2 linked regions of the Oreochromis niloticus genome follow. The protein of the gene in region 1 interacts with the protein of each later gene in a pairwise test. Links are inferred from orthologs where the notes say so. Each region holds a gene or a part of one and is shown in the gene's direction. Other genes may lie near its edges. The genes, in order: myf5 and id1.

Evidence for each region.
Region 2: the proteins of myf5 (region 1) and id1 interact in binary tests that used the Homo sapiens proteins (3 or more experiments, as listed by UniProt). The link is inferred for Oreochromis niloticus from reciprocal best matches to the Homo sapiens genes MYF5 and ID1.

What each region holds. Positions count from the first base shown.
Region 1 is NC_031981.2:15,814,613-15,823,297, reverse strand, and holds myf5 (myogenic factor 5), read left to right. Parts: upstream 1-4,973; 5' UTR 4,974-5,071; coding exon 5,072-5,524; intron 5,525-6,446; coding exon 6,447-6,519; intron 6,520-6,741; coding exon 6,742-6,941; 3' UTR 6,942-8,071; downstream 8,072-8,685.
Region 2 is NC_031970.2:30,956,284-30,964,009, reverse strand, and holds id1 (DNA-binding protein inhibitor ID-1), read left to right. Parts: upstream 1-5,135; 5' UTR 5,136-5,255; coding exon 5,256-5,612; intron 5,613-5,851; coding exon 5,852-5,887; 3' UTR 5,888-6,442; downstream 6,443-7,726. UniProt on the Homo sapiens protein: Transcriptional regulator (lacking a basic DNA binding domain) which negatively regulates the basic helix-loop-helix (bHLH) transcription factors by forming heterodimers and inhibiting their DNA binding and transcriptional activity.

The sequences.
Region 1 (8,685 bases):
TGGGGTGGTGCGCTGCGCTCCTTCAGATCTTAGCAGATGACACAGAGCCGTGGTTGACCTTTGAGACTCTGCCTCATCTCTCAGGCCTGCAGCCGCACACAGATATGAACACACAAAGTGTCTCTCGCGCACATATGCCAAGTTCATAAGGAGTTAAAGACCTCAATGAAATATTAAGCCAAGGGAGAACAATGCATATCTCAACGTTTTGCTTTAGCAGAGGTGCAAAGAAAAACTATTTTACTCAAGTAGTGTGCTTGGAATCAAATTTGAGGCGCTCCTCTAACTTTAACACACCTTTTGCTACATATATTGACTCCTTTTCAATATATTCAATAATTCATTAAAAACAACCAGGAAGAAAGTTCAGAGGTTTGGAGGCCTTCGTCTGTTTGGTGTTCTATGTATTTTAAGTAGTCTGAAGTGTGTTGAGTGACTGGTTCAGGATGCCAATACGCTCTACAAAGCTAATTAGAAGGACCTTTCTTCCCACAGCTGTGAGGCTTTTTTCATTCTATATTTTATGCCAGTGTTTCCTCTCATTAATGCACATCATTTACACATGTCCTTTTATTTATTAACTAGTCTAGACCAGGTAATTGAATTGAGTTTGTTTTTAATGTAATGGCTCGACAATTTCCAAAGAAAACCTGCAGCGCTTTTACATCTGTTGCTTTTTTTTTGCGTTAGTCTTTCTAGCTTTGGGGCAGTGTGTGTTTCCCTATCTACACAACACCTCTACCACATTTAATGCATAGCTGCATGTTATGAATAAAGCATAACACTCTTGGTTTTTCTTTAGCTACTTGAGTGTAGATTAATAAAAATACTTCAAGGTTCAAAGTAAAAGTTTGTGCAATATTACTTTCACAGTACTGTGTACTTTTATTCCCAAAATGAAGTTAACACTTCCACAACCAAACTAAATTAAAGCTGGTAAACATACACTAATGCAAGGTTCTATATAATATGGTATTATTCAGCAATCATACATCTTATACTAAACATCCTTTTTTTTCTGTAGAAACCAGACAGAAATCCGATAGCGCTAACAGTAATGTGATTTTAATGGGCTCCTACTCACTCATTCTGATAGCAGTGAATGATGTGTAGCTCATATGTGTAGCTGTGAATGTAATATCTGTTACAATGGAGGCCAGTAATCACATTTAAAAAGAGAACTCAGATGAGTGTGAGGGTTTTGGGGGTGGTGGTGAATACAAGCACGTTTTCTGTGCTGTTAGTAGAGTTGTATTCACTGTGTTTTGAACCTCATTGTCTTATTGTTGTGTTTGCACCATCTGACTGTGTGCATGCTCACAGAAATAGCCCTGGTCTCTCCAAGTCCAGACTTTCTCTTGTCTGACTTTACGGGGATTTCGGTGTTACTGATGACACCATATAATTGTCATTTGGCTGTGAAGGCAGCGTTTTAAAAGTTAAAGCTGATGAAAGGCGAGCTGTTATAGGAGGGGGGATAAGCCTGGAGGCTGAAATGCTCTGATTTACTCAGACTTTCCTTGAATATCCTGCTAGGAAAGGATTCAGTACTGACGGTGCTGGCGGTGCACCTCTTTCTGCTCACTGCCAACACAAATGGTGTTGCCACTCATTTTTTTTTTCTTTCGTTCTTGTGGGGAATGTAAAATGGACTTGGATTTTATGTGGGTGGGAAATTGCCTTTAACCAAAAACACTGCGCTTTGAAAAATAAAATCCATTGTTCTTTCTTTTGATTTTGATTTTATTTGATTGCTTTTGTTTGCTTTTTTCCTTTCATCCACAGCTTTTCATGTAGGGCAAACTGAGGTAAGGACCCAGTTAGGAGCAATAGAGTTTTTCTTTCAGGTTATAACATTTTAAACATCTAATCAGTATGATAATATAACAGGGACGTGCCCACTGTTGGGCATTGGAAGGGGTATTCCCACCAGCAATACCATTTTCATGTCAGCATGTATTTTTTTTTTTTTATAGATAAATCAGGAACTAAATAAAGTTTAGTTAAACTAAACTTTATGTATTTATTTATTTATTTATTTATTATATTTATATATATATGATAGTTGCACTAACCCAAACCATTACTTTTTCTAAACACACCAAGTAACACATTCCTACTTAAAACATATTTAAAAATCATACAAATATGTGAACAACTGTGATCTGAATGTTTTAAGCTTAGGTCTTTGGAGTCCACCACACCTCCCATTTTCAAATGTGGACATTTTTTCTTCTTAATCAGTGCATATAAGAGTGAAATGATTAAAAAAAAAGAAGAAGTTGTGTTCAGGGACTTGAAATAACGTTGGAAATTCGTGCAGAGGAACTTTTTTAAGGGAATATTTATGTTCACAAACATGAATCAGCACAAACTGCTGTTGTTTTTATATTTTGATCAGATATTCTGACTTCCTGCCAACCTCTCCATGACTTCCTCTTGCTCCTTCTGTGCCATGAAGTTAACCTCACTCGAATAAATATATATTTGATATTTTTATTTTGAATAAAATTCAACTTAAATGTTAATAAGAAAGAAAAGGGGACATGGGCTGTGTTTGGCCTCTGGAGTGGGGCATGGTAGAAAAAGTCTGAGAACCACTGGGTCAAGTGAACACATCAAGAGGTTCAATAAATCTCAATGGGAATCTTGTAATTTACACAAACTTGCATTTTAAGATTGACTTAATTTTCACACTGTTACCTGCATCATAATCACTCATTAATTACTCAACTTACATTTTACATATTTTTACATATAGAGAATATTTTGCTGTTATTTCAAAGTGACTGTAATGCGAGAAAGCAAGTTTTTTTTTCCTTTTAAAAAGTTTTGACATTGTTATTAACAATCCAAACGAAAAGCAGACATGCCGATGCATAGAAACCATTGCAATTTATTTATGTTCATACTGTACAAACTAATTAATCACCCTCAGTGGGACTGTCATAAAAAGGAGTACCCCCCCCCCCCCGCAAAAATGCCTCTAAACCACTTTTCAATCCCAACAACTTTTGATGCTATTCAAAGTGGCCACTCAGTACTTTTACTGTTCTGACAAGTTCATACTGTAGATCCTGTAACTCTGCATAGTTTGGGTTTATTTAATAAAAATACATTTATTTATAGATTTCCATAAAACCGTTTATTTTGCTAAATGGGAGGAGGAATGTAAGCGATGCACTGCCTCTCTATCGGGGGATGGTGCAGCACCAAAAAAGCAGCATAAAGTCAAAGCGTGAGGCAGTTTAGAAGACATAAGGTTTTCAGACGTGAGGCAGATGAAACATAAAAAGATCACCTCCTGCCCTTCACTTAACTCTGTCTTTGACCCTTGAGAACAACAAAAAAGCAAACTCGGAGAGCTCCCCAGAGACGAGCCGAGTGCGCAGATCACATCTCCAGCCTGCGCGCAATATCATCTCCCCGTCTCATTACGCCATGTGCTGCACTAATCTAACCCCCCGGCTCAATTAAGCTGATGCCAGGTTTTCTCATTGTCCGAGTTGTTCTCAGTCTAAACAGCCTTTGATCTTCGCAGCTAGCTACAAGCTCAGGCGAGCCGATGTCTTCTTCAGCTGTGCCTAATCCAAACTCCGACGGCAATTCAGAGGCAGCAGCAGGTACTGGTGTTTTCTTAGGTGTGCGCAGTTCCCAGAGAAGTGGTGATGGGGCTGGAGGGGGTGCGGGTCGTGCCAAACGCTTTGACACATTGTGAGAAATATCCGCATTGTATCCTTGTAAGCTGTCACCAACATCATTACCTAAACCAGCTGGACTGGGTCAAACTGTGAAAAGCATTATTTCGGAATCTTTAGATGTTTCTGCAAATCTTAACCTCTACAGAGATGTTAAAATATGGGGAAAATGCAATTTGAGAAAAGGCTTTGGATCGTTTTCACTGTATATTTTTATTCTGTTAAATTAGCCTCAAACATTGGGGTGGGCACCGCAAGGAAGGGACATAAGAATGAATCTGATTTGCTGATTCTGCAGTGTTGGCCTTCAAAAATTCAGCTCAGATCCTTTGTTATTGTTAAAGATGGATTAAAAACTGCGGGATGTGGGACTTGAATGTTTATCAGTCAGAAAAAAAGAAGTTGGAGAGCCACTACAGGGACAAATATTGAATTATCTTCACTGTAAACATCCTCACTCCGTAATCCCTGAGTCATCCCCTTGAATGAAAGCCTCTGCACCATCACGGCCATCTGTTGTGTGCTTGAGTCATGTCAATAACTTTTAACGGTTAAAATTTGGTCCCCAATGTTGCAGGGAGTTGTGCAGTGGTGTCAGTGCAATAATTACTGTTTTAATGAGCTTTTGCAAACAGGGATCGGCTCATTCACAGCACCTTAAGTGATGAGTTTGAGTGTTTGGAGGGGGGGCTTACCGCACTAATGTGAATTCACAGGGCTTGAAATGCTACACCTTCCTTTGCAGCTGGGCTGCATCTGCAACGCTGTTGTCTTCACCGTAAAAATTGCCCTGCATACTCCAACAAGTGGTCACCCTCTTTTTCAGCAGAATTTGACTAAACTAAAAACACTCTGCGATGTTCATGTCTTCATAGCCAAGTGTCACTTTCACTGTGCGCTATGACATGATGCCTAAAGGCTGGTTACAGATACATGCAGCATAAATAATACATTACAATACTTATTAGCGCTTTAAAACATGCCAGCTTTGGTTAAAGCTGCACTCCCCTTAAACATTTCTAAGCCTTGTATTAATTGTGGACTTGTAAGAGAAGAGTGTTGATGAGTGGGAAAACACCAGTAAGTGCAGATGTGGGAAACTCCACAGGGTACTGGGGGGTGAGAAGCAGCGAGTTGGGATGGGGCAGGGAGGGAGAAGAGCCGACTCCTGCCTGCCTTCTGGCTGGGCCAATGGGCCATGGTAATTAGATCTGGCCAATGTGGGCCCTGGGCTTTGGCCTCGGGGCATATAAGGGGGGCCTGGGGCAACAGACCCCTCATATCACTCAGAGGTTTCTTCTCTTTCACCCAAACTCTACTACCCTCCTTCCTTCCTTTGCGGCCATCTCCATCCATTCAGACTTTAACAAGCCATGGATGTCTTCTCACCATCACAGGTCTACTATGACAGAGCATGTGCTTCCTCTCCAGACAGCCTGGATTTTGGCCCAGGCATGGAGCTTGCTGGCTCCGAGGAGGACGAGCACGTCAGGGTTCCAGGAGCCCCCCACCAGCCAGGACATTGCCTCCAGTGGGCCTGTAAGGCCTGCAAGCGCAAGTCGAGCTTTGTGGATCGCAGACGGGCTGCCACCATGCGCGAGCGCCGGCGGCTGAAGAAGGTGAACCACGCTTTTGAGGCTTTGAGGCGTTGCACTTCGGCCAACCCCAGCCAGCGCCTGCCCAAGGTGGAGATCCTGCGCAACGCCATCCAGTACATCGAGAGCCTGCAGGAGCTGCTACGAGAACAGGTGGAAAACTTTTATGGCCTACCTGGAGAGAGCAGCTCTGAGCCTGGAAGCCCGCTGTCCAGCTGCTCTGATGGCATGGTAAGACCGCTGATCCCCATCTTCAGCCTCTTTATGCAAGTGCCTGGTTTTATCAGGGTCTTGAGCAGCAAAAAAATTAGAACCACTGCACAGTAAATCCTGGAAAAGGTCTTTATTGTTGTTTACTGCTAAAGTCATCATCAGTGTTGAACAAGACCACTTCTATCAGTTCCCTTTACCTTATCAAGTTTTTTATTTCAATGCAGAACCCTGATTTCCACTTTAGCAACCTGTTAATCAAATGAGCTTGCTTTGCCTCAAGACCATAATTATCATGGTTTTCCATGCATGACAAACACCTCCCATAATTCCGTAATACAAACATCTATTATGTTGTCTTACAAGAATCTCCGTCCTCTGCTTGCGATGCTTATTATTACAGGTCATATTGAATCTCTGTTTGAAGGTGACTTTGCATCAGATAATACAAAAACAACTTATAACGCTGGATTGGACTAATGGCTTTCCCACCACCGGACACTTTATAGCCCCATTAAACCAAGCTAAATCCACCTTACTGAAGTCTGGCAGGCAAAACTGGGCGCTTTTCTGCATTCCATCCTGACTGCATGTTCTGCACCGCTGCCAGGATTTTCTGCAGATTTACTAGGAGAAAGTGTCATCTTGCACAAACTGGTGTTGCTTCCACTGATACAATCGATTCGCTACACTCGGAGTCGGGCCGGGGAGGGGAGGGCACAAAAAACCACTTTGGCTTTAAGGTGCATGTGAAATAAAGAAGCCAATAACTTTGGAATTCAGGATTTATTAGCCTGTCCGGAATATATGGCGGGCACTGCACTGGGTGTTTTCTTCCTATCCAATATAACACAGCGGTTTAAACAAGCAGCTTATCATATCTGTCTGTTTGCAAGTATTTGAAGGAATTCAAGGGTAAATTCAATTTCTCATTTCCTTTCAGGCTGACAGCAACAGTCCAGTGTGGCAACAGCTGAATGCAAACTACAGCAACGGCTATTCATATGCAAAGAACAGTAAGACCTTTTAACTTAAGCAGCAGTTTGATATGAATATAATGTGAATTCTTGCCTGCAGGGCTTTAAAAACTAATACCTGAACAGCAGATTATGTTATATTTAGACTTTATTTTATTAAGGTTCCATCTTTAATTTGAGGCCTTAAAGTCAGCTTATATAACATGTATCAGCTGTATGATCCAGACTTGGCTAATTTGAATTTGGGATCCTCTTCATCAGATAGCGTGGATGATAAAGCAGCCGGAGCGTCCAGTCTGGAGTGCCTGTCCAGTATCGTGGACCGCCTGTCCTCGGTGGAGTCCAGCAGCTGTGGGCCGGCTGGCCTTAGAAACACGTCCAGCTTCTCCCCCGGCAGCTCTGACTCACAGCCCTGCACACCGGAGAGCCCCGGATCCAGGCCCGTCTACCACGTCCTGTGAAGGAAACCTTGCTTTGATGTGAATATATATTGCCTCAGGCGGGCGCCGTGCTTTTACCCAACACCAGCTGCATTTGCAACCAAAAGCGATAAGAACTAGTTTTGGGCAAGTGGGAGGAAAACCCAGCAGAACCTGAGGGACGCGCGGCGGCCAGCTTTTGTACTGTACATGAGATTGTAAATATATAATGTAAATGCCCATTTATTCTATACTTTCTATTATCCCCAGTGAGACATATTTAATTGTAACAGCTGATGTAATGTTGCATTATTCAAAAAAGAAATGGTATTTAAGCAGTTCAGTTCAGTTGAGTGTGAGTTTTAGCAGGTTTCGTCCTGTTAAAAGGGAGTTCTTTTATCCCCACTTTTTAATTTTTTTTATTTTTATTTTTTATTGTAAAGTGTCATGAAATGACTAATGTTGCTTTTATTGGCACTATATATACATGAATAAAAAGTGAACTGAATTGAAGGAGTGTTGTGCTACACTGTTACATCCCCTGTTTTGTTCTTTGGTCTTTTTTCTACTTTTTTTGTATTTAGAAACCAGTTTTTTTCTAGTTAAGCAGATGCTACGCTGAAATTTTGGAGACCGAAAAATAAAATGTCTGCAAAAAAAATTTGAAAATCCTGATTAGCATGAATCTCCCTCACTTTAATAGAGCTTTGCAGCAAAAGTGAATTAATAATGAACAATTCACTGATGCTGAAAGCGACTGCTGTCATTTCACTTTTTATCTTTTGATCTCTTTGGCTTTTTTAAGGTTTTAAAAAAGATTGTTTCTAGAACAGTTAAATTATTCCTTACGATGGCAGATTTATATTCATTTGCAGAATCATGATTAGCAGTCCAAAAAAACTGTCAAAATAAAAGGCCAAGTTATTTATTATGTGCCTCACGCGTGGAGTGTCCCGGACATCTTGGAGTTTTCTTCAGCTAACAAGGTGTCAGGATCACTGATAGAGGTCATCTGATATCGTTTATCATTTTTACCCTGCTATAATCATTCATGTAGCCTGTTTGCTGATGAGTCAGTACAGCACTGTAAAAGCCAAATACGTGGTGTCTTTCCTGGATCACAGAAATGATTCAATAAAAACAGACAACTGTGTAAATAAAGGAAAAAATTCAAAAACATCTCTAAACTCATTTTTGTGTCTCTGTCCTCGTGAAGTGTAAAGCTGCACTCTGTGTGTGTGTGTGTGTGTGTGTGTATACCTGTTTGTTCCTTCCTACCAAACGTGAGTCATCATTAACACCCTTGATTACACCATCAACACAAGAGTTAAGAACAAATGGCCTCTAATTGCATGTATTGTGTGACTGAAGAGGAGGAGGCGGCGGAGGTGGAGGGGGTCACATATGTGTCATACTCCATCATGTCTTTGATCATGCACTAAGAAAGCTGGTTTTCAAGGAATGAGCTGGAAAGCTGTAATAATGTATCAGTTCATTTATCAGAAAGGTAAGAATTTCAAAAACATATTATCACGTAAAACCAGAATTTAATGTAAACCACACAAATCTGATACAGCTCCACTTGGATCATCTAAAGTATTACCATGCTACTTTTGCGTAAATGCATCAGTTGTAATTATCTGATTGCACAATTTTTTTTTCTTATTTTACTCTTTTTTGTTGTTGTTATGTTACATTAATCTTGCTAAACAACACATTCTTTTAGTGCTGCTTATCCAGGTTCGGGTTGCAGGGAGCAGCAGTTTCAGTAGAGACACCCAGACCT
Region 2 (7,726 bases), on another chromosome or scaffold:
GAGTTCAGCAGCAGCTTTTGTTCTCACATGGCAGAAATTCATACTTTGCAAACTACAGTAAATGCATCACTTTTAAGTTCACTCTAAGGGTAAATTATGCATATGCAAACAATATGCATTTCAACAGGGATGTTCCAGGTAAAATTAGGTAACGCTGGACATGTGAGCGCAGGCAGAAGCTCTTATTTATTGTTCTCCATCTCCCGCCTGCAGCAGGGGGCAGCTGGCCAGCAGCAATCAGGCCTGTCCCCCATAGGCATCTTGTGGCAACCAGCTGAGAACAGCTGGCTTCCCCTTCTGCTACTAGCGGACCTGGACTCTGCTGGAAGTCCTGGAAAGGAGAGGGGCTTGTAAGAGCCGACAAAAAGCCAGTATTCACACACAGACAGGTTGTGCTAATGAAGAGGCCTCATTAGGCTGCATTTACAGTGTCTATAGAGGTGCGTTTGTTGTTCAGTCCAAGAAGGCAACTTCTCAGGATAAAAGAGAATCTCTTCAGCCTGTGTTTACAGTTTTACTACAGCCTCAATATAAAGTTAGTGTTAAAACATCCAAAATGGCACCTGTGTGATGTCAAACTGTTGCTAGACCGAAAGAAGTAGGGGGAGGGCTGAGGTGAAATACTTGCTAGGCGGATGGAGGGTTGGTGGGTGATGGGGATGACCACTGAACGGAAAAGGGACTCTGGTGTTATTAGATTTGCAACAAGCCGTAACACTGTCTCTCATTGTGTATCCTTCCAACCCGGCCCTCCCCCGAACCCCTAACCGTAGAGAAGACTCCCAGTCCCCCCACCCCACCCCACCTCTGAACACCCACTCCTCCCCACAACACACGCACTCCCAGCTAAAGCTCGCTCTCCAGGCAATTGCCACTGGAGTGGAAAGTATTCCAGAGCACAATGCCTATGCTCTCAATGGGTGCTTTAGCATGCCACCAGTGCGCTGTCACCAGCAGATGGGGAGCTAATTAGAAACCATTAAAGGGCTTTGATAGTGTGTGTGGGAACCAGGCGGAGGGAGATGGCCACAGGGGTGTAAAGGGGGGGGGTGAGCTTTGGGTCCGGTGAACGCACACATACACATGAAGACAACTGAGAGAAACAGATATAGAGGGACCAAGCTGTCCAATGATTCCTCTCAGGGCAAGGACGCTGAGCAGAGGACACCTGGGTGGGGGGGAACTTCAAGGATCTCCACGAGCTTCAGCTGCACACCAACTATCAGATGGAGATAGCGTTCCCGTAACCTGCCCCTGCTCTCAGGGAAGGGCGTCCATCCACCCACCCAGTCTGCTCCCTGCACACAGGAAAAACACCCAACAGGCGGTGAGGCTCCAGCCGGTCTGCACTTTTTGATGACACATCTGTGAACTGGGACTCCCACAGGAAGTGAGTCCTAACCACTGGTCCTCAGTCATTACACGGGCTGGGCTTGCCAGGGAGGTGCCAGGCCACGCCGGGGCACACGAGGATCCAGGCGGAAACACACCCACAGAAGGTGTGACGCACTATGTTTAAAAAACACAACTAAAAATCTCACACGGATCAGCACTTTCTATGTGCTGAACTTTCTATATTTTTGTGTCGAATGTGAGGAGCCTGAGGTGCCATGGGTCATCAATCAATCATCCGAGGATAGACGTGACATTGTGGTGCGGTACCACAAGTTTTTATACCTGACACCACACTCCCCCCACCCCCACCCACGCTTCTCCCTGTCCCATATGAGCCTCTCCACACACCTGCACACAGGTGTGATCATTATCAAGCAAACAGGAAGAGCCTGACTGGGAACTGGAAACTAATCCCACAGCTGCGAGGAGTGGCGTGTGCATTTGTGTGTGTATTTGTGTGTGTTTGTGTATGTTAGTGAAAATTGTTGAAAACTTAAAAGTGACACTTGCTTTTCATAATCAAATTCCTCCCTGTTTCTTTTCGACATCGTATTTGGAGAATCATACCAAAGTCAAAATCCTCTGTCCAAGAAAGCATAATTGTGCTTTGGTCACTTTCATGTTTCAGGAAGTAGTACGAGGGCTACTTATTGTCCTCGCAGCAATAATAACAGCAGCAAAAGTGTCAAAGCATTACTGGAATGTCCTATTTCCTCCCAGTGAATTCCTGCACCAACTTTTGCCCCCCCACCCACCCATGCGGCTTCCTGCGGTGTGCTTTTATAGATCTGTTTGCCGTAGCGATAAAGAGGGCGTATTAGCTAATATGTTTCCCCTCCACCGAATGGAACAACTTATCTAGGAAAAAAAAGCTACCAGAAAAGTGTTTGTGTGCTGGCATAAATGCTGCAAAGATACACCGTGTCCTTGAAAGAAAAATACCAGCGCTTCTTTTTGCCGTTTGATGACGTGCGATGCTGCAAGAGCACTGACACAAACAGTAGCCTGTCAAAAATAAAAAGTTAAAACACAGAGCCATAATCAGCTCACATATAAAGAGTCCACGGGGAAATGAATTCTGTGTCAGTGATGAAGGAGGGAAGGGGAGCGGGGAGAGAAAGAGAGGGCACTGCCATTCTGTCAGTTAAAATCAGGAGCTAATATGTTTCACTTTTCTTTCCCGTCCTCTGCCTCTTCCCTCTGTCTTCTCTCTCTCTCGCTCCCCTCGCCTTGATGTGCTGTAAACAGGCTAAAAAGGGCCCAGCTGTGTGGAGTTATTGTTGGTGTCAGTAGGAAGTGCTGATAGCTTTTGCAGCTGAACAAAAGCTGGATGAGGGGAGTGGAGGGGCGCTCCAGACACTGTGGCTCCAGCCTAGATTCTCTCCCACAATCCCTGCACCGCACTCCCATTGTTCTGCCCACCCGGCCTTCCCTCCGCCCTGTCAGCTGCGACCTAGGACAGAGGGCAAGAAAAAAAAAGGGAAAGAAAAGAAAAGACAAGAAAGTAAAGAAGAAAAAGTTTTTACAGGCTACTGCAACAGCTAGAAGTAACAGCCGGTGGTAGTTAAGTTTGTTATACTGACGTTATCTCTGGTATGGCACAACATCTGTGCAGATATAAGCAGCAGCTATAAATGGCATTTATATTAAAATGTGAAGAGAGCAAGCTGTTTATAATTTCTTCCTCCTGCAAAAGGAATGATGCAAAGCTAAGAGTTTAGTCAGTCAGCGCAAATATCAACATATAAATTATTCTTTTTTATATATATGCATTAAACCAACAATTATTGCAATTGTAAACATGAAAGTTGTTGTTAGGAATATATTGTACGGTATTATACCGATACTTGTGCAACTTTACTGCTTACTGTTCACTTTATTCGTGCATTACATTAATGCATTAGCTAGTTTTAATACCTTTGCACAGCACTTTCTCTGAAGTTTTTTTTTTTTTTTTTTTTTTTTTTTTTTACTTATTCTACGCATTCCTGCACTGGACTGTAAAACTTTTCACAAAGGGAAACCATTTATATAATGTTTTCATTATGCATCTGTTTCTTCTCCTACATATTTCTTGCAGTACTTGCTTTTACTTTCTGTTTCACGGGGATTGTTATGCAAATACCAAGGCAAATTATTTCCACCTTAAAACTTAGTTGGAAAAAAAAACTGGTTTGGATTGTTTCAGAACTTTACCTGACGTGCTCTCAGTTTTCACACCAGCTAACTTAAAACTTTATGCCTCATCTATTAAACACTGTATAAAACGTATTATTCCATTTATAAATCAACAGTAAAATATTATGTAACAATATGACGCTTAGAGCGGTCATTCTATTTGCTTAATGGCACAAATTTTCCTTTATCAGCTTTTTTTATTTCAGATTTTCTGCATTATTTGCATGACATTAGCAGACAGGAAACAGAAAGGCGTTTGATGCATGACGCATTCATACCGGTTCTCACTAACACGGTGGTCAACGGAATTCCTGCATATGTAATAGAATGCATGCATCTTTTTTTAAAATTGTAACGTAGTGAATGTCGGTCGTTTGAAGGAATGCTACAGCTAGTTTGTGTCCTAACTCCTTTGTAGCTCCGGCTGACAGCAGCTGCTCTGCAGGTGCGCGGGGCGGTAATCTCATCCCGCTGCTTTAAGGTGATAAATGAACGACAAAAGCTCCGGAGCCGGTTTGTTCTCAGGGCTCCGCGCGCCACGCAGGTGAATGGAGGAGTGCCGGAGTGCGCGCTCTCTTGTTTAACGTCTCCATGGAGACCGCCCGAGCGGCGCCAGGCTGACAGGCGTCAAGGCTCGGATGAATGGGTGACGTCACCGCAGTGGCGCCTGCCAGTCTGCTCGGGCTTGTTTGGACAATCTGGGGGGAAGATTCGGAACAGAGCGATGCGATCTGTGTGCGCACACACACACACACACACACACACAAGGCTGAGCACACACTGCAGAAACATGTGAAGGAATCCGTGAAGCCGATGCTCACACTGGTCTTCCTTCAGCGCTGAGAGCCAGGAAAAAGAGACTGCTCGTCCAAAGAAGTGCCGTTTGTGAGCATAAAGAAAGCTTTGAGTGAAGAGAGCGAGGATTTTAGGAGCGTGATTTTTTTCTAAATCGGTCAACATTGTGACATCGAATAGTAATAAGCTAATGATCGGGAAAATGGAATAAACCGCTTAACTGTTCAGACGCTGCATTCCACGCAAACCACGTAAATCTAAAAGAAAAAAAAGATACATTTTTAGAAAAGGTTACTCCTTCCCAGAATTATTCGGCCAAATGAGTTCTTTAAACTTTTACTGTACTATTGTCATCCACATCTGCAGTGGCATCAACAATTGTGAAAAGGCACTGTGGTAGCCTAATTATCATTAGCCATTCATTCCATTCATCCCGTCCCGTCCCACACGCATTCTCACAGCGCATACCCAACTATTCACCACCCTTTGACTGTCCCCAGGCAATCTACACCTGCAGAGTCCCCAAGCCGTGGACAGCTGGATTCCCACATATTACCCATAAAAGACACACATTTGTTTCCATTTGTAACGCCATCCCTCAAACAGATTGTAAATCCCGATAACCAGCCGAGCGCTGTCACTGGCTGAGAGAGAAGTTTTGAACCGCCTCCATCAATACAAACGCAGCTGCCCCATTGGCCGTCCGCCTTCAAACCGGACGATTCGGCCCCGCCTCTGGCTTCTACTTTCTTATAAAGCCGGGGAGGTTTGCCCATGTGGATGTTGCGAACTGTCAACATTGTGTTGCTATCATCCCTGAAAAAGGAGACCAACCCAACAACTCTTCTTTCTCTTACTCGTCATTTTTGGAAGCTACACTAATCAAGATGAAGGTTGTCGGATCTACCTGTGCCCTGAAGAGCAAAGGCGAGGACGTGGTGCGCTGCCTGTCCGATCAGAGCCTGACCATCTCCAAGTGCAAGATCCCGCTGCTGGACGAGCAGATGAGCGTATTCCTCCAGGACATGAACAGCTGCTACAGCAAACTGAAGGAGCTCGTGCCCACTCTGCCCACAAACAAGAAGGCTAGCAAAGTGGAGATCTTGCAGCATGTCATTGACTACATCTGGGACCTGCAGGTCGAGCTGGACGAGCCGGAGAAGAGCCGCCAGCACACCGTCAGCAGCGTGCCCCGCACGCCGCTTACCACTCTGAACGCGGAGCTTGCAAGCATCTCAGTGGAGGTAAATATCTCGCCACTCATACTGAATGAATCAGCGAATGGGCGATAGTCCAAACAGACCTGCATGCATTCAGATAAAAACATGCATATAAGTGTCGGTACGGGTGCGTAAAGTTTGCAAGCCTGTGCGTAAAAGCTCAATTTGCGCATGGATAACAACTCGTGTGCTTTAAAAAAAAATGTGTGTATATATATATATACCGGCGTTGTACTAATCAACCTACTTTCTTCTTCCCGCAGAACGGATGCTCAGATGACAGGATCATGTGTCGTTAAGAGCTCTTGGAGCATCGCCCCATCACATCACATCAACCACAGCGAGGGGATGAACAAGGCTACTTGATGTGACTTCTCGAACCGCATCAAGAATTACAACCTTGAACTGTGTAGGGACGTTTCGTACTCCCAGTGTTAGATAACAAGTTGTGTGGACATTCTGCGGCGAAGAGCCTCACTTTTGTCACTTAACGGTTCTCGATTTATAAGAGGGCCACGAGACGAGAGGAAGATGAGCAGAGAGTGTCCAGATATAGACTGGGTTAGCCAGGGGACCAAGAGAAGTTCAGCGCAACCGGCATCGCCCGTTGCTTGCAGAGTTTCTAAAGAAAGCTAAAGATTTCTGTTACTGCTCTTTGTATCTTGTGTAAACCATGTAGAGGATTCAACATTTTTTGTAAAAGATTTAAAAAGAAAAAAAAGTTAATTTCTCAGATTCCTGAGCGACAAACTGTATTGTATATTACAATGCCACAATATGTGAAGATATTGTTTTCTTACAATGTACATTATTTGGTGTTTTTATTAAAACAAGATCATTATTTTTGAACAAGATCCCTCTGTCTCACTGTGTCTGTGTGCGGGAGTGAGAAGGTATCTGACTCACATGCTATACCTGGGGAGGTTTCGTTGCTGGGAGCTGTAACTGTGAAAAATAACACTGCATGGTGATTACGCTATGATGACCGTTAAAGCCTTATTAGCATTCCAATTAATCACACGAGTACACTCATATATTCTTATTTAGGAGAGTGTAAACTAGTTGTCACAGAAAAGTGCTACACCTACTTTCAAGTAACGTAAAAACCAAAGCTGGTGGTAAACATACTGGTTCACAGCCAGTTTAATGGGTAATTTGACTCACTATAAGCCATTAAAGCATCACATTACAAGAGGAAGTCACACTTTAAATCTACACATTTAAATATCCTGACAGATAAAGTCTTGACATAAACTTTAAATTAAAACCACGCATTAGTGACACACATGTTCTGTCGAAGGTTTTCATTTATTCCCCCCATGTGTCGAATTCTGTGGCAAAGATAAGCCAACCCATTGATTAGAAAATAAAATCAAATAAATAAAAACAAAAGGCTTTTCTTCACTACATAAAACATCCATTTAAATATGGTGTTTCAATATGTTATCGTGTAAATCAGCAGTCGAAAAAATAAAAATCTGCCGGCACCGCAGGAGTTAAATGGCTTTGGCGAGGCGATTCGTTATAAGATTTATTCTGTCTCCCTGGTGCAATGTTTTTCCCATTTCCCTGCGGTGCGATGCGCACAGCTGCAGCCCCGGCGTGGCCAGTGTGTGATTGTGTTTGTGTGATAGCTTTGTGCCAAGGGCAGGGGAGGGCGGCGGGGCCCAGACTGAGCGGCGCCTCGGCACACCTGGGGAAGTTCAGGTTAAATAGCTCCACATTCCTCAACACACAGCTGATTGAAACATTAACAAACAGTAATCCACAGGCCAGGCCGCAGATGGGCCGGGAACCACGCCAACACCGAGAGAGAGAGAGAGAGAGGGAGGGGGAGAGACAGAGAGAGTTTGTCGGATAGAGATTCCCACAGTACAGTCGTATGCCATAAGTTTGCTATATATACTTAAAAGAGGAAAGAAAAGAAGGGGGGGAACCAACTACACTGTTTTAGTTCTAGGAGAAGCTTCCACGAGTGGACTTATTTAACACTTTTTTCATCATTTATGATATTACTTAGCAGTTAAACTGTTAAACACGTGTAATATTATCTGTGTGGCCGGGCAGCCTCTATAAGAAGTTTGTACTTTGCTCTCGATTTTTTTTTTTTAATTACCGTTAAATCCAGTCGGGACTGT